Linked DNA regions of Drosophila melanogaster. The gene in region 1 interacts genetically with each later gene. Each region holds a gene or a part of one and is shown on either strand. Other genes may lie near its edges.

Region 1 (5,797 bases):
GACCCGCAAGACTTCAGTGAGTTAAGGCCTGCAAGCAGTCCAAAGTAGTAAAACACCCTTTCCAAACAGACGCCAACCAGACCATGGTCATACTGAAGGCCTTCAAGGAGTACCACGACCGCACCTGCATACGTTTCCGGCCGTACGAACAGGGCGACAAGCACTGGCTGCTCATCAAGGGCAACTACTCCGGCTGCTGGTCGAGCGTCGGCCGGCGTTCGGGTGGCCAGGTGCTCAACCTGAACACACCCAAGTGCGTCACACACGGCGTGGTGGTGCACGAGCTGCTGCACGCGCTCGGCTTCTACCACCAGCAGAGCGCCACGGAGCGGGATGAGTACGTCAAGATCAACTGGGAGAACATCCTCGACGGGCACGCGCACAACTTCAACAAGTACGCCCGCACCCACATCACCAACTTCGGGGTGGAGTACGACTACCAGAGCGTCATGCACTACAGCTCGCGGGCCTTCAGCAAGAACGGGAAAGCCACCATAGAGCCATTGGTGAGTAGGCCAACCCAAATGGTTACCAGTTATTCATGTAATTGAGTATTATTTTAAATCGCTTACACTGTAAAGGAGTTCAGTTTAACATTCAATAGTAATACTGCGAATTAATGGACTATTGTATGGACATACAGTAAATTCGCTTATCTTAACAATTACTACACCTAAATGTTATATTTCGATATACAAACTATAATGCTATCAATCTATTTTGCACAAACCACACTTGAATATGTGCATTCAAAAACACCTATCAATTAACTTAGATTCCATTAGGAATGCCAAAAACCGTGGCTCATAAAATATTTAAATTCGATAGTGATAGTGATTTGATCATATTCAGATTAGGAATTCCTATATTAACACATGGTCCAATGACGTGCAACTATGCTAGGAATAGACGAAGCATTTTGCTTCCTTGTCCAGTTGGAACTATATCAAATGAGAATTCTTTAGCTGAATGGTTGACTACACCTTAGCAGTTTTAGTTGAAGCGATGAGATGTTTGTAATGACTTGGGGGAGCTTGCATCGTCTACACTCTCTGACTCCTGTCCTTTGCTTCCAGGATCCGTACGCCTCGCTGGGCCAGAGACGCGGCCTCTCCGACAAGGATGTGTCCAAGCTAAACGAGATGTACGAACAGGACTGCAGCGAGGACTACCTGCTCAACTTCGACCGCTTCGGGAACTACATCGACGAACTGCTCGACTACTTCCAGGGCAACATTCAGGATCTGCTCGGATAAAAACGCCTGAGGCCAATAAAAGAAAGTGCCGGCTAGGTGACGAAAAAAGTGAAGTGACTGATCTCGTCGAGGGTCTGGGCGGCCTCCCCACGGAGTGCCGGGTACGAGTGGTGCTCAGAGAGTTGTTGCAGCGCAAATCGCAGCTCTCCATTCCATATGCGCTGCACGCCGCGCAGGCTGAAGCGGGCCAGCAGGCGCAGCAGCTGACAGGAACGTTGCCGCAACAGGTGGTGTCGGCTCTGCAGGAGCGAGACGAAGTTTAGCCGCGGATTAAAGACAATCCGTTCTACAAGCTCCGCGTTTTCGGGCAGCTCGCGCAGCACACAGCCCATCAGGGCCAACATGCACCCAGCCAGGCGAACAGAGGCGGCGTCTGAATCCGATTGCCTGAAGTCTACGGGAGAACGGGAACGGGCTAACAGTTTACAGGAGTCAGCTCATACCATCTAAGGGTAATCTTACCGTGCGTGAGGAAGTTGAGGAACAGATCGCTTGCTGCCAGAATGGCAACCGCATCGCAGAACTGCGTTAGGAACTGCTGCTGCAGGTGTACCAAGTGGCAGACCAGTTCGTACAGACTGCAAGCCGTCTCCAGCTCCTCGACAGTTAGCTCCGGAATGCTACGCAACGTTCGACTGAGCGAACCCGTGGTGAGTGGGGCGGAGGCAGCCGAGTCCGAGAGTTGTTTGTGCGACAGGAGCAGCTTGCAGGCGTACATGAGATTGGGCACCAGTTTTACGTCCACGTACACGTTGCGGATGAGCTCGAGGTCAACAATCAAAACAGGATCCACCAGCACAAAGGGCAACGACAGCAACTGGGCCACACTCTTGAGTACCCGTGGAATGGCCTTGGAGTTGCGCAGCGGTGCCACAATAATGCTCACCAGGTTGTGCTGTTTCAATGAGTCCAGTTCGCCGTCAAGCAGCTCCTGCACCGATCTGTTCAAGAAGGCTAGCCACTCATCGTTCTCGATGGGCGGACTTTGGGATTCATCGCAGCTATCCCACCCCGGGAGCAGGCACGGCGGAGTGTTGCTGTTATTGAAAGGGGAAAGTTAGTAAAAGAAATTCTATGAGGCGCAGTGGCCACTTACTCGCTGCTCAGCTTTTCCTCATTGGTGGAATGCATTGAGTGTTTAAGTTGTTGTGGCTGTTGCTGCGGGGGCTGAGAATTTGCGTAGGAAATTGCTTCAGCGGGAGGCTTGTTTTCCTGGTTATGCTTTTCCTGTGTAGCAATCTCCGTGGCCTTGCGTTGCGCCTCATGGTCGACGCTGTGACCCAAGCGAACAGAGAAGTTATCCAGATTCTGACTAAGCTTACGCTTCTCTAGATCCTTGCTGCGCGACTGGCGTACGGTTGGAGCGACTATTGGCTTAGCGGCCACGCCTCCGCCCCGCAAGGAAGCCTGAAAGTCGAAGTTGTCGTTCATATGATTGAGGATCATATTGGAGTTGCCACTGACGAAGCAAGTGTGCGAGTTGATCACCGGCTGGTGTACCATCGGCATTGCCCGAACACCAGACAGATCCCTGTAGGACAAGTCCGCGAAGGGAACGACCACACGTTGCATATTGTCCTCCACATCGGTCTCAAGATGCTCAACATCGCTGGGAGCAATGGCGTTTATGCTGTCGCGGGAGGTGGTCAAGTTTTCCTGTCGCGACTCGCCAAAGTCCAAAGCGGCCAGGGCCTCGTCCAGATCGCCTACCTCCGGATCGGACTGTTTTGACGACTTAACCTTGGCTTCGGGATTTGTGAAAGGCGATTCCTTGGCCGCCTCCGCCTGCGTTTCTGCGATAAAGATGCGTCCCTCAACGAAGGGGTGACACAACAGCTGCGTCCAGGATATGCGCAGACCGGGGTCCTTCTCAAGCAGGCCCTGTAGGAAGGAGCGGCACTCGCTAGTCAGCGTGCTCGGCCACTTGACGTCCTCGTGCTTGATCATCTTCACCAGATGCAGGATGGAGCTGGCACAGAAGGGCGGCTGACCGGCCATGCTTTCGTAGGCTATGCAGCCCAGTGACCACATGTCCGCATGATGGTCGTACGGCTGCTCCGCCAGCAGCTCCGGGGCCATGTAGAGGGGCGTTCCCTTGATCGAGGTGAGCACGTGGGTACCCAGGGTCATGTTGCGGGCCAGTCCAAAGTCGCAGAGTTTCGCGTGCATGTTCTTGTCGAGCAGCACGTTTTGCGGTTTGAGATCCCGGTGGAGGATGCGGTTTGAATGCAGGTAGTACAGAGCGGACACCAGATGCCCGGTCACCCGACGTGCCGGCTCCTCGCCCATGGCTCCATTGTAGGACAGGTAGCGGTGCAGGTCCATCAGCGCGAACTCAGTGACCACGAAAAGGTCCGTCTTCGACTCGAAGGACTCGATCATCTCGATGACGTGCGGATGCTTCAGCCGGGCCTGAATGTCGCACTCCCTGCGCAAATTCTTCAGCTCTTTCGTGGCTCTTCCGCGCTGCAGAACATGAATATGGTGTGAACTAGTTGTATGGACTTGTTGCTTTATCACCTGGCCCGCCCCACTCACCTTGGAGATCACTTTGATGGCCACCACCTTGCTGTCGTCCTTGCGTGTCGCCTTGTATACGCACCCGAAGGATCCTTGCCCCACCATCGAGCTTACCGCGTAGCGGTTCATGGTTATTCTTTGTTTTGCTGCGGATTGGGATGTGATTACCACTGAAGTGCGTGCGGTATGACCGTAGCAGGTTGACTCCGAGGTGGGAACTCGGCTTCGGTACGTAGGTATATGAAAATACTAGATTGCTCATACAGGGTTCCTTTTCTGATAAATGACGCTTTTGCTGGACAGCAATTGTACCTAAAAATCTATATAGACCAGATCATGATACAATCCAAGACAAATACAAGACTAGTTTGCGCTTTTATCTGTGGCAGTAGGTATTAGTATTATCTGCGAATAAACATTTATTAAGTGATAAAAGTTGGAACGAACTTTAACTTATATATTATTATATATTATAAATATTTATATGTATATATTTCTTAATGTACAAATTTTTACTTAATAAGTGCAATAAATGATATGCAATATAAATAATTAAAAATTCCAAAAGTGCAGTAGATAATATAACTAATTATAGGTATGTACCTATATATCGTAATGTACCTAAAATTCAGTGTGACCAAACCAACACAAATGACCCTTTTGACAGCAACTCGGTACGGTCACCCTAGACAAGCACGGCCGAAGAACAGCTGATTGCTGGCTGGTTTTTATTGTGCGGAGCCAGGAATAATCGTTGTGAAATAAATAATGATTGCCAATTTGAACACAGCCACCCAGTGAGACGACACCCACAATCGCAGCACGATGCGCGAGCCCAACCTGTACGTGATCCTGTCGCACGCGCTGATCGGTGAGTTTCCGCCAACCGGCAGACACTTCTGCCACGCCTCTTCCGCTTCCAGGCGGCAGTCTAATTGAGTTGGGGATTCCCACTGCCATTGACCACACTCCCAATTCCAATCCGCATCCCAGGCTGCGGCTTCTTCTTCCTATACGTGCAGCATGTGCGCGTGATCTTCGAGACGCGCACCAACATCCAGCAGCTCAATCAGCTGGAGCGGGAGGCGCTTCTGCGGCGCGAGGATGCCCTGTACTATGCCTTCTACAAGCAGCTGGCCGAAGGGCCGGACTTTTGGCACGGCTACGAGCAGCTGAAGAACGTCACGGACATCGAGTATCCGCACAGTGTCAATGTGCTGCAGCGATTCTACGTGCTGCCGGAGCTGGTCACGGCGTAAGTGACTGCCAGAGGAGTGATGCCCAAAAAGTCCACTAATGCAGATGCACTTTCGCTCCCCAAAGGTACTTCTTTCACGTAGTGCGCTCCGGCTTCAATCCAATGGTGCAACCGATGCAGTTCTATCTGGAGTTCGTGTGGCTGATGGGCGGGGTAACCCTGCTGGTACTCTACCTGTACGGAACGCTGCTCAGCGAGAACATTTTCGGTGGCATATACGGCGTAATCTCGTACCTGATGTTCCACAGCTTCGTGGCCAAGATCTATGAGCGGCCGCTGGCGCGGGAGAACTTCGCCTTTCCGTTCATTTTCCTGCAGATGTTTTATCTGTGTATCTGCATCGGAAGGATCATACACCGACAGCGGCACACATCTCGCATGTTCATGGTAATAGGTGTGCTTTATTGCATTAAGCTCAGTAACATCTTTGCCCTTCGAAGATCTTCGCCATGTCGCTTTTCACCGCCTGCGCCCTACTCTCCTGGCAGTTCTCCACCTTCATCTTCACCACCCAGATCCTGATCATGATGACGTCCTGGAACGCGAGCGCGCTGCCCACGGCTCTGGTCAACGCCTTCGTGCTGGACTACTCGCTGTCGCACCTGCTGGGCCACGCTCTCGCCTTTGTAATGTCGCACGGCAACAGCCAGCTGCTTCTCACCTGGCAGCTGAGCATCTCGCTGTTCCTATTTTTGATTACAATGGTGCGACAGTTGCGTCACGTGCGCAGCCGGCGACTGGGACACGCGCAGGATCTGCTGAA
Region 2 (5,025 bases), on another chromosome or scaffold:
TTTGAATGTGCCACATTTCCTATAAAAAGGCTACATTCCCCGTTTTCGATTTCCAGACTACGCCCCTGGTGGCAGGCAAGGAATCTAGTGGTGGATCGCTTGAGTGAGTAATACCCCCTCCCCGCCCTCTTTCACCAACGGACAGCCGACGCCAGTGCATATGCAAAGATCTGTGCGGCAGCATCAGCTGTCAGCGAGAAAGAGACGGACGATGGTGGGGGGGAACGATTGGTAAGGGGGAACGATTGGTAAGGGGGAACGAACGGGAGAGCGCCGCAAATTAACAGCCCAAATACGCTTGTGTTTGTGTATGTGTGTGGCCCATGCGACTATTTCCATTTTGTTGCTGGCATTTCTTGCGCTCCTTATCGACGACAAAAGTGGCGCCGCCGGCATGACGGCAACAACATAAAAAACAGCACAGCAGCGACGAACAGCAACAAAATTACGAGTCAGCCCCACAAGCACGCTCACCAACACCAACACACCGCATCAAACACACTCGCGCTCTCTCGCTCACTCATACATACAGAATGCTTGCGTGCAGAGTAAAAAAAAGGCAGGGCGGCGGGCGTGCGAGCGAGAGGGAAATGCCTGGCGCCACTGACGTAATAAAAGAAATAATAGTAACGATGTCGGCGGCAGAGGCGTCGTCGGAATGGCGCCACACCAACACACGCTCACCTTAGACAGACACACGGACAGGGACGAGCGACGCGACGGTCGGTTTGTCAGCCGGTTTGACAAGTTGAAGAATCAACAATTTAAGGTTGAGGTGAGTATGAAATAATCTACCGCAGCCGTGGTTCAAAAGAGTACGTACCACCAGAGAGTGCGAGTGTGGTGGGAATTAGAATTGAAGGCGCTCTCGAAACTCTTCTGAAAAGTCATCAAGTCGAGAACTTAGCGTTCTTAAAGTCTAGCTTTGAATTAGAACTTATCAGAATGCATCTGAGTTTTTCAATCGGAAACAAAAAAAGGTATGTTTTAAACAGTAGCATTATCTTATGAGACCAATCTTAGGACTTTACTTATTTTGTCAAGAACAGAAACATAATTAATAATAGGAATCAATTTATAAGATCCTTCATTCCCTCCACATAAACCGTATAACTGCACGATTAATATTTGTCAATAATAAAAAATGCAATGCGAAAGCGACAGAAATAAATTATTTACATATGGACATACATCTAAAATTATTTATGATGTGCGATGTATGCACCACAGTTTTTAGCTTCAAAATTGCAAAGTAATTGATACCACCGTACTTTTGCTTTCAAATATTTACCAATCTTGAGTCAGCCGGAACAAAAACCCTTCCACATTTAAAACTATGAAAGATGTGTAATCCAGTGAACAATAGAGAGAGCTGTTTACGTTCATAAAATTCAGTATTTAGAGCAAGTCCAATACAAAAAAAAAAAATTGCACATCAACACTTCAAAAGCCATATATCGCACATTTAACAATCAATTGAAAACAGTCTATACTCAAGAATTTTTATTCAAACCCGCTGAGTGATTATTTTTTCCAAATTCACGTTTACAAATTTATATGTATATTTATATATACATACGTAGTTATGGACTTTCTGATAATGAAAGCATGAGTAATTGTAAGTCCAATTGGAAACTATAGCGATTTGGTAACAGATATTCGCGACTCGGTATTATATAAAATATAAAATTATCTTCGAAACCGCATCAGAAAATATTGAATATGAAAACTTAAATAACGCTAATGAGTGATAAGCATTTGTTTGTTGACTTAGCTATTTTGCATAATCACGAGTGCACCTCTTCAAATCGGCTTGATTTTGAGTTCTAAGGAGTGGAAATAGGTACTTACTGTTTAAAATTTTTTGTTAGGTGGTTTCCGTTTAATCCTTTCCTTATGTAGTATTACTTTTTGATATGTGTAGGTGTATTTGATATGTTTAGAGGTTCACTTGATAATTTGTATTTACATTTACTGCAGAAGAAACAAACTATTAGCAACGAATTTGAATTTGTTTAACACGTGCCGACGGGTTTTTGTTATTGGATTGGTAACCGCAGTCGATTTTTTCTTTTTTTGCTGCTGGTCAGTCACTTTTTCCTATGCATGTGTACGTTTGTGTGGATTTAATAAGGTGCGAGTAATGTGTTGATTTCGGTTGAATATTATGTTGAAGTAGCCGAATGCCGGAAAACAATAACAATTTTTAACGTGGTGGAAAAGGTGTTTTTTGTTGGCTTGCGATTTGCGCTCTGCTTTGATTCTGCCGGCGTCGCTACCACCGCTATATACGTATACGTTTGTTTGTTTGTATGGGCCAGTGCAGGTACAATGTGTGTACGTGGCTGGCGAACAATTGCATTTCTTTTCTTGCTGTTATTTGCTCAGTTAAAGCTTGAACACACTTATTATTTGGCCCGCATTTTCCCCCCGATGCTCATTGATTTTTAATTCGCACACGAACACAACCACAAAACACACGCACGCAAACGAGATCGAAGATCCGTTATCCGGGCGGAGAATTCTCGCTCTTTCTTTGCACACACAAACACAAACAAATGCATAGAATTCATAACAGCAAGCAGCAAAAATAAAAGATTTTCGCCTGACGATTTCCAATCCCCTTCGATTCTCACTTCAATTGATTTGCCTGCTGCACTCACACTTTTTCTATGTATTTCCTCCTTCACATTTCAGTTCTAGAGCGCACAACAACTTCACTGCACTTGTTTGTTGTTTACGACGCCCGCGTTTACAACAACAAAAACAAAACCCGTAAATGTTGCGAAAAAAGAGTCGGGGAAAGGCGAAAAAGTCCGATATTTAGGAACTGCGTTTTTTTGTCATTTAATTAACCCAAAAATCATTTAGCAGTCTCGAACACAAATAACGTTATTTCGGAAAATTTCTCGTGGCAATACGTCAAGTATCCATCTTTTCGTTGATATCTTTCGGATTTGGATTTCTCGAACGGCAAAAGAACACACAAGCGACGCGGTTGAAAATTGTTGGGGCAATGAGCGAAGCGCTAACTGTGCGGATTGATAGTCTTTGGAGCTGTGGGGAATAAACGTGGGAGAAACGCCTGAGAGAGCGCCTGGGAGAGGGAGGTTTAGAGAGAGAGAGAAAAATTAAGAGACCAAGAAATTGTAAAATTAGAATCATACATAAAGTTCCCGTTCTAACAATGTATAAGAACTTCAGTTTTATTATTAATTAGAAAAGACTTGTTAAAATATCTTCATATTTTTCACATTCCCATTCCTACTACAAGTGCTAAACCAAAGAATCCAAGACATCTGAGAGTGGAGAGCATCCGTTGGATGGCTACTATGGCGTGGTGAGTTTCGTTTCGCTTCCGCGGACAGATACAACCTGCGCACGCACACCCACACTCGCTTCATGCTGGCAGTGCCGTTGGAAATAGTGTTGGCTAACGCGGTAATTTCAAAAATTGATAAGTTTTCCTAGACAAATTATGTGGGAAATACTAAGCTGTCCTATAATATAGGAGAAATCTATAACTATATGTTTATAATTGAAAAGCCGTGTTCAGTATGAGCATTTTATAATTTAAGTTAAAAAAAGATTAATGTACCTTAAAATTTTATTTAAGATGTCTTAAAAGGTAAATGCTTAAAAGGCATACAAGGTTTAATTAATTCGAATCAAATTAAAAACTCTCAGTACATATTAGCCCCTGTTAAATACGTCTGTTGAAGTTGCCAAAAAACTCAACTCCCTCGATGCTGTCGAGAGCGGAGAACCTGAGGAAGCAACATCGACATTTAGCGCGGTCTTGGTTGCCGCAAAATGTGATGAATGGTTGTGATCAAGGGCATATCAGTTGCATTGCCTTGCCCATGTCTGCCAAACACACGGACGCACACACGCCCATACAAAGTGGCGCCCCTGCAGCGGCCCTACACACACAGAAACACACTTAAAGCGCGCAGCGAGGATCGCATACCGCACTGCGAGAAAAGTCGATGGAATTATCTATGCTAAAATTTTTTACAGTCGTTATTACTATAACTAATTCTCTAAATAATAATAAATATAAGTTTACCTTTAGTTCATCTATGACATACAGTACAGTGCAATACAGTGGCAACGTCGAATTTAGTTATTGTAGTTTATTGTAATTTAAAACCGGTATTACTTAAACGTGTAAGGAACACAAGATCACGTCCAGATTTTTCACAGTGCCAAGCAGACGCTCCAACAGGAACCCTGGTTCGTCAGTTCCAGTAGAAATACATAATTGTCTCTCGTTTGGACGACTCGAAAACACAAAAGCAAATAGGCTCCCGTCATTACGATAATAATAGGTCGGGAACAGGGAACACAGGCCACTTGTGGAGTGAAACCGGCAACCGGCGATGTTGGCAGGAGGAATTTGATCGCGTCGTGAGCGTTAAATAAGCGAGAGTCGGGCCCCTGACTTGCCCCGTGGAGGGGCATGGGTATTAACTCCGGAAAGGACGGCGGCAGGAGTTTGAATACATTATTTTCTTATGAGGCCAGAGACATTCCGCAAATGCTAAACAAATAATACGACAGCGAGGAGTAGCGTCCCACAAAGCATCTTATTTAAAGGGCCTCAATTATTCAGCAGTGCCTTTGTTATGGTTAACCCTTTTCTTAGAATATAAAAATATTGCAACTCTACTAAGCCAATTGCTCTTAAGCATAATATTGGGAAAAAGGTATTTCGAATGTATATATTAAAACTAAATGCTTACTTTATATTTTCGCCATTTTAAAACTACATCGGAGATATTACATTGTGGTTAGTTTTACACGTGTCTATCGCAACAGTCAACCTTATTAAAAGTTACGTCATTTAACTATAAACAAATGCACAACGTGGATAAGCACAAATATGTGTATGGCTTTTGTGTGTGGGAAGAGGTATGGTATATGGTTTGGGTGATATAGTAGATGGTCACCTATGAAATCTTAGCTCGCTCGGCTGTTTACGAGTTTTGTTGTTTGGAAAGTATCGGGTTACCGATTCGACTC
Region 3 (7,260 bases), on another chromosome or scaffold:
TTCAGATACTTTGCATACTATTATTCACTTTTTTGTAGGGTGGTGCACTAGCACCGCTGCAACCGGTTGGCGGATTGCTAATCGCGTACCGCTGCCGTATATCCGTCTATCCGTACCCGTATCCGTATCGGTGTCCCAAAACAAACGCTCACACGCACACACAAATACTCGCACGCTCTCGCGATTCGCCGACTAGCGCTGAAATCCGGTTCTCGATCGCTCGACGGTCCAAACAAGACTGAATCGGATGCTCAGATACTCGCCATCGGATTTAGATACAACGCTTAAACCGGCGCTCTCTCTCTCTCCCTCTCATCCTCTCTCTTTGCGCTTTCTGTGTGTGTGTGTGTCCGAAGGGGCGATTGTTTGGGAAATTTCTGGGACATTTCTCACCTGTTGCCTTGTGGACTGTGTTTGCTTGGATTTCAGCTGCAAATGTAGAACTTAATTATCTTTATAAGACGATAACTATTTTATTTTGAATATAAAACACTGATTAAACACTGATTGATTAGTTTAGTTTGTATATATTTATTTGCTTAACCAACAATATCCACACAAAGCCATGCCGAGCGATTTGGCGGAATATGTATGCTTACAAATGTGTTTATAATTTTTCACACGCTGATATTGAGGGAACATACATACATTAATATCAATTTAAGTTACTCGGAGTACAGTGCAAACTGCATCTATATCAATGGACAATAAAAAATACGTTGTACACAACCAAACAGTATTGAATTTTAATTTTAAGTTAATGCAAAATGAGTATTGGATTAGCGCAAATACTGCGATTTGAAGCATTTATAAGTTGTACAGAGTAAATGCTTTTGATAGAATATTAAAGGTTAACACTTGGGTATGGAGTACGTATGTTGTAATTGGTATCGAAGGTCAATTAAAATTCGAGGGAAGACACAATAGTGTTTACAACTAAGCTAAAACTAACAAAATCAATTAAAATTAAGTGGTTACCTAATAATTATTGTTATGTACAAGTTAAACAATGCGGAGACTTAGGTCAACACTTTGAGCGAGTTTTGTGTACGGTTTGTCTTGCGAGTATCTTAAGTAGCAGGTCAAGTCTTTACGGTTGAATCTCATGAGGATAGTTACTTTCATATGCTAGGTGTATGTACGTGTGGGGGTTTCTAAAATAAATGCTCCCCAGCTAAAGAGCCGGAATGAGAACCATGTGTTGTAGTCTATTTGTGTCATGACTGTGGACGAAACTTGTTCAGTTCTTGTTACCAGGATCTGAGCTATTGCTTCACACTTAAAAAGATATCGAACTCCAGCCACTTTAATAAGTTAAACGACAAGCAGTAAACTAATAAATTCAAGCTGGTATATATGTCGGACTATTGATTAAAATGTATGCATGTATATGGGAGTAATCTGTTATACATTTTTAAGCATTTTTTTATATTATCGCCTTAATTATTAAAGTGGCTGGATTTCAGCTCATGGCTATTAATTGTATATGGCTATTTGGCTTAACCTTATAATATCGTCCTGGAAATGGTTAAATTCGTATTTAGTTTCGACGACTTGCGTCCTGGATAATTATCTTGTTCTTCTGACGCGTCACTTTCGTGGCCGTCGGAGCTGGCATCAGACGCTTCAGCTGCTCCGGCCTGAAGCTGACCAGGGCCTTGTCCTTCACTTTTCCTACGGCTCCAGTGGTGGTTGTCGACGTAGTGGTTGCCGTGGCCGTGGTGGTTGACTCAATCAGGGCCGTGGATTCCTCGGCCGTGGACCCTGAGGAACCGGCTGCGGCAGCTGACGCATATCTGGTGAGCACATGGAACTTGGCAAAGATGTTGCGTCCGCTGCGTTGCTCTTTGTCCTTGTATTTGTCTAGCGCCGAGCCGGTGGGCATCGGCTTTGGCGCTTTGATCAGTGCCTTGCTTGGATTGCCGCCACCTTTGTAGAAATGATCGTAGTCGAAATCACTACTGGCCTGCACCGGCGGGGCGACACAGGCAGGGGCCAAAGCTCGTTCTCCGTAGCTGGCCGAACTGGCCGACGTTTCCTCCGCCATGTGACGCAGCATCAAAGTGAGTTTCATTTCGTGCTGGCGCTGCAGCAGCACCGCATTCCGTTCGCCTTCCAGTCTAGCCTGGCGCACGGCATTGGACAGAACACGCTCCTTCCACTCCCAGGCATCCCGCTCACGCTCCAACTGCACCAGCTGCAGCTCCAGCTTTCGTGAAGAGTCGCGCAAATCGATAACCTTCGTGAAGTATTTGTACAGAAGTGTTCGCATCTCCTCCGTTGAGAGACGATTTAGGCGTGCCATCAGCATCTGTTCTCCCTTCTCCCGCTGAATTCGGTCGCTCGTGTCGATGGAGCGGTGGCCCGTGATCATCTCGTTCTTGAATTCTATGGCCGCATCTATGGCCTCGATGGCCTCATCGCACTCGAGCAGCTTGCGCTCCTCCTTTTGCGTCAGCACCTTGTCCCGCTTAAGTTTGCGGTCCAAATGACAGCGTTCTTCCAACAACAAGTCACGAGTTCCGCGCAAGTTGCGGATCTCATGACGCAAGGTCTCCTGCTGTTCTGGTCCCGGCTGCTCCTCCAGGTTATCCGACTTCTCGCGTAAAATGTGATTAAGGTGCGTAATCCTAGCCTGTACTGCCTTTAACTGGCGGCCTTGTTGCTCGGGAGAACCTTGCGCCTTCACTAGCTCTTTGCCAGTCTCCCTGGATTCTCGTAGTTTGGCCAGCTCCGCCTCCATCTGGCAGCGCAGCTTGCACTCCTTTCGAAGCTTTTTCTGTAAATCATCGGCCTGTTTTCGCGACTCGCCCACCGATTGCTGTAGCTTCTTCACCTTCTGTCCGCTCTCACCCGCAATATGCTTCATTGAGCTGAGGTCTTCTAGTCGACGCTCGAGATGTCCGATTATCGTGGTCCATCGCTCAATCTCCGACTGATCCCGGCCTTGAACTAGCGCCTTACCTAACTGCTTCTTGGCCTTGTCGCACTCGGCCTCAAGTTTGGCACGTTTCTTGTGAAATCTTTGCTTTGCATGGCTGCGTGTATCGCTGTTCTTGACCAATTCGGCGATTATATTTTGTTTTACCTGGATTGTCTCTTCGATTTCCCGTAACTGTCGTTGCTTGCCCTCGATCTCAGCGACCAGTTTGCGCAATTTTTTCTGCAGCTGTTCAATAGGAGCAGTGGCGGCGGCGGCAGCGAGAGCCGCCTGACGGATTCCTTCGCCCGAAGAACTTTCCAGAGGATCGACGACCGACTCAGGATCGATGGGCGGAGGCGGCTGCTGGGAAGCTACCCGATTAAGCATGGCAAGCTCAGCAGTACTTAAGCTAGCACCTGGCTGAACACTTCTCCTGCGACCTATTAAAGCAAGGAATCAACATGTTACTGTATAAAAAAATGTTATTCAAGGCAAAGACTTACTGCCAATGCTGACTTTTCGATCATCACCATTTTCTTCTGGCGGCTGTGCCTCAATCTCGCGGTCTTGGCTTTGCATAACCGCCTTCGGATGCTTGGATAGATATTCAGCGTGTTTTTCAAGTATAAGAGCGTCTGTTTTGTCGCGAAACTCTTCCATTAGACTTTCTATCTTGTCGTCCAGATCGGGCCGATGCGACTCATTGTCTGTGTCGTTTTCGTTGTCGGAGTTTGGCGACTCCGAATTGGCTGCTTCAGAATTCACGTCCTCGGGCTCCTCGGCCTCCAGAATGGGAACCAACTGTTTTTGCTGACGCATAGCCTCTGTTGAGCTGAGACACTCCTCGCACTCCTGCTTGAGGAAGAGCCACTCCTCGATCTGCTCCTTCTCCACTTCAGTAATTAGCTTGGAGTCTATCAGCCTATAAATTTCTTTTGTCGTCAAAAGGCCCACATCGGAAATAATGTGTACACTTACTTGGAAAATAGCCCCTCGGCGTTGGTAACTAGTTTGGACCATTGGCTTGCTGCGAATTGTAGGCCAAAGTTGTCCCCTGGTCCCGCCTGCGACAAGGGTCCAGCAGAGGAATTGGATTCGGGAACAGGCTCAGCCGGCTGAACGATCATCGTGTTGTCGTCGGAGTAGGTGTTCATAATTACAAAATTACGTACGCACTGCACCTTAAAGGCGAACTGCAGGTTGCCAAGAGTTTCGGGCAAGTGCTCTTCCAGCGGTGACACGCACAGGATCACGAGCGTCTGAGCCCGTCCGCCGAACGAGTCCTTCAGGAGAGTGGTGAGCGTGGTCTGACCGTACGGAATGTTGCCATTAACCCCGTACATGAGGCCTGGATCTGTGAGAGTACTGATCACCTGCTCCAGCATACACAGGCCAGCATCGAGAGGACGTCCCGGTGGCTGGTCTCCACATCTCTCTGTGCCGCAGAGATCCGAGAAACTGGCCGTGGACAAGCGGTGCTGCAACAGCCCCTCCTTGGACACCCACTGCTGCTCCAGGGTAAGCGTGAACAGGGTGTGCGCCGGCAACGATTGGCGGGCCGACAGACCCACCTGCAACCAGTGGAAGACGGCATCTACGTTGGTGCAGTGTATGTTTCCCATGCCCAACAAGTCGCAGACATCACCTCCGCAAATTTCCACGAATCCCACGTTGATGGCATAGGTGCGTTCTTAAAGTGAAAATGGAAATGGATAACTATGCTTATAAGATCCTTTTAGTAAACTCACCTGGGTGCAACGATATGTGTGAGAAAATGTCACGGACACAAAGTTGGACGACTCCTTCGGTGGAATCCGTCAGAGTAGGGTCCTGGACGTTTCCGTAGAGTGTGTAGCTTTTGCCCTGGCCCCTCTGGCCATAGGTGACTACAGATGCGTCGAAACCTTCCAGGAACAGGGTGATGAGCGGAAAGACCGTCTGGTGGTACACTTGCTCCTGGGAGCTGCTGCTGGGCAGGGCGTGGGTGACCGGAACCGTGTGGGGACCGACTTGTATCAGTCCAGCTGCAATGCTGTCCATGGGATCTCCGCCTGGCAGGGCACTGGGCAATCCCAGGGCCGAAGCGCTGATGGGAATAGCCTGAACGCAATATGCGGAGTCTGGGTAATCCTTCTGACCACTGTCGTTGCCATTGGCATCTGGAATTGTCTTCGAATCGGCCGCACTGTCCTGCTCAGCATTCCCGTTTGGGTCCGTCTCTGAAATTGACGGATTGTCCTTCTCAGCCGCCGGAACTTGAGCCTCGGAGTCCTTGGAGTCCGCCCCCTCATCCACCGCCTGCGCATCCTTTTTGGGCTCTGTGGGGCCGAAGCTCCTCAACAAGTCCTTGAGCTCTCTATGCGGGAAGATGCGCACCGCTACCTGAATGGGTATTTCCATGGTGGTTAGGCAACTAGTCCTGGTCTCGCAGGAGCTCTTTCATTCGATATCCTGCTCTTTGTTTCGCATCTTTGCGCTTTCAAATACGTGCAAAAATTCAACTCCCTCCGAATCGATACAATGTGATAGTGTGGCCGACGCTAAAGCGCCAACCCAAGCCGAAAATACCGAATCCATGTAACAGTTTGTTACTGTAAAAATCAAAATCAGTTTCCAATCAAATTGCTGTCAAATGTCAATTTTAAGACTGTGAGCTCACAACTATTCTTCAAACTGGTGAGTAAAACCGAATTCTATAGATAGATTCTCGTCAAAAGACTTAAGCTTGAACTGCTGTTTTTTTTTAAATGCCAAATTGCTGCCGTGCTGTTGGTTGTGATCTTCGCTAACCATGGGCTTATATAGTATACACAGACAGTAAACTTTGGTATTTTAAAAGTTGCGATCAGCATGGTCGGTATATGCTAAAGGTCTCACTGAGCGCGTGTTTTTTTTTGTGCTAAACGCTTCGTTTTGAGAATTAAGTGCAGTAATCACCATAAATTAGCATGTCCAAGCGTCGAATCGAAGTGGGGGAGACCTACGGCAGCAAGGCGAAGAAGTAAGTGACCCGAGGCCAACATACGGCAGTAATGTAACGCTCCTTTCTCACCAGGGACCCGGAGGCGTCCTCCTCGTCGGCGGCAGCCGCTGCCGGCACAGTGGCTCAAATCCTGGGCGGATTCGTGCCCAACAAGCAACCGCCCACGATGAACCCGCTGACCAACACGCCGTACTCACAACGGTACCAGAATCTCTACAAGAAGCGCATTGCGCTGCCCGTGTTCGAGTACCAGGCGGACTTTATGCGGCTGCTCAGCCTGCACCAGTGTATTGTGCTGGTGGGCGAGACTGGCTCCGGCAAGACGACCCAGATCCCGCAGTGGTGCGTGGACTTCGCAGTATCCAAGGGGCGCAAGGGAGTCTCCTGCACACAGCCACGTCGAGTTGCCGCCATGTCCGTGGCCCAGCGCGTTTCGGAGGAGATGGACGTAAAACTGGGCGAAGAGGTCGGCTACTCCATCCGTTTCGAGGACTGCTCCACGGCCAAGACGCTGCTCAAGTACATGACCGATGGTATGTTGTTGCGCGAGGCCATGTCTGATCCCATGCTGGACCAGTACCAGGTCATTCTGCTTGACGAGGCTCACGAGCGGACCTTGGCCACTGACATTCTAATGGGCGTGCTCAAGGAGGTCATTCGTCAGCGCAGCGACCTTAAGCTGGTGGTCATGTCCGCCACACTGGACGCCGGCAAGTTCCAGCAGTATTTCGACAACGCACCGCTCATGAAAGTGCCCGGTCGCACACATCCCGTGGAGATCTTCTACACGCCCGAACCAGAAAGAGATTACCTAGAGGCTGCTATTCGCACGGTAATCCAGATACACATGTGCGAGGAAATTGAGGGTAAGTTGGTAAATGAGTTTAGCTTGGAGTTCATTTAATAGCTTGCTAGTTCATTGTTCTAAGAAGCATTTATCGATCATATGTTTACAATGTAAAAGTGCCAGGCAAAATATAAACTTTCCGAGTGCCGAAGGGCGGCAAATGCTTCGTATTTGCTTTAATGGTATTGTAATCATTCAAGTGTTTACGACTTTTGAATATGATCCTATTCAATGCCGGAAAAGACGCATTCGCTTTTTCCATTGTAAACTAAACCCCAACTTGATTTTGCTACTCTAGGTGATATCCTAATGTTCCTCACGGGCCAGGAGGAGATTGAGGAGGCTTGCAAGCGCATCAAGCGCGAGATCGACAATTTGGGCTCAGAAATTGGAGAGCTGAAATGCATTCCCCTGTACTCGACGCTGCCGCCCAATTTGCAGCAGCGCATCTTCGAACCGGCCCCGCCGCCAAATGCTAATGGCGCAATTGGACGCAAGGTCGTGGTG

The links. Genes that interact genetically often act in the same process or in processes that back each other up.
Region 2: of fu (region 1) and Dad, changing one suppresses a phenotype caused by changing the other (phenotypic suppression), as found in Drosophila melanogaster (one study listed by BioGRID).
Region 3: of fu (region 1) and cos, changing one suppresses a phenotype caused by changing the other (phenotypic suppression), as found in Drosophila melanogaster (one study listed by BioGRID).

The regions. Positions count from the first base shown.
Region 1 is NC_004354.4:18,655,948-18,661,744, reverse strand, and holds fu (fused), read right to left. Parts: upstream 3,991-5,797; 5' UTR 3,906-3,990; coding exon 3,795-3,905; intron 3,723-3,794; coding exon 2,353-3,722; intron 2,294-2,352; coding exon 1,719-2,293; intron 1,651-1,718; coding exon 1,289-1,650; 3' UTR 1,257-1,288; coding exon of another isoform or gene 1,077-1,256; 3' UTR 541-1,076; downstream 1-540. Other genes in the region: CG6696 (uncharacterized protein), read left to right, coding at 1-16, 70-506, 1,077-1,256; CG6659 (uncharacterized protein), read left to right, coding at 4,602-4,647, 4,770-5,031, 5,100-5,421, 5,475-5,797. UniProt on the Drosophila melanogaster protein: Probable serine/threonine-protein kinase; maternally required for correct patterning in the posterior part of each embryonic metamere. May be involved in control of cell division during metamorphosis and ovarian development. May interact with costal-2.
Region 2 is NT_033777.3:17,052,001-17,057,025, reverse strand, and holds the start of Dad (daughters against dpp), read right to left. Parts: upstream 3,020-5,025; 5' UTR 2,664-3,019; intron 2,130-2,663; exon of another isoform or gene 1,991-2,129; 5' UTR 1,852-1,990; intron 1-1,851.
Region 3 is NT_033778.4:7,381,657-7,388,916, forward strand, and holds cos (costa), read right to left. Parts: upstream 5,460-7,260; 5' UTR 5,324-5,459; coding exon 4,672-5,323; intron 4,614-4,671; coding exon 3,902-4,613; intron 3,846-3,901; coding exon 3,427-3,845; intron 3,364-3,426; coding exon 1,541-3,363; 3' UTR 520-1,540; downstream 1-519. Other genes in the region: Dhx15 (DEAH-box helicase 15), read left to right, coding at 5,872-5,924, 5,979-6,772, 7,052-7,260. UniProt on the Drosophila melanogaster protein: Regulates cubitus interruptus (ci) processing by recruiting multiple kinases to promote its efficient phosphorylation.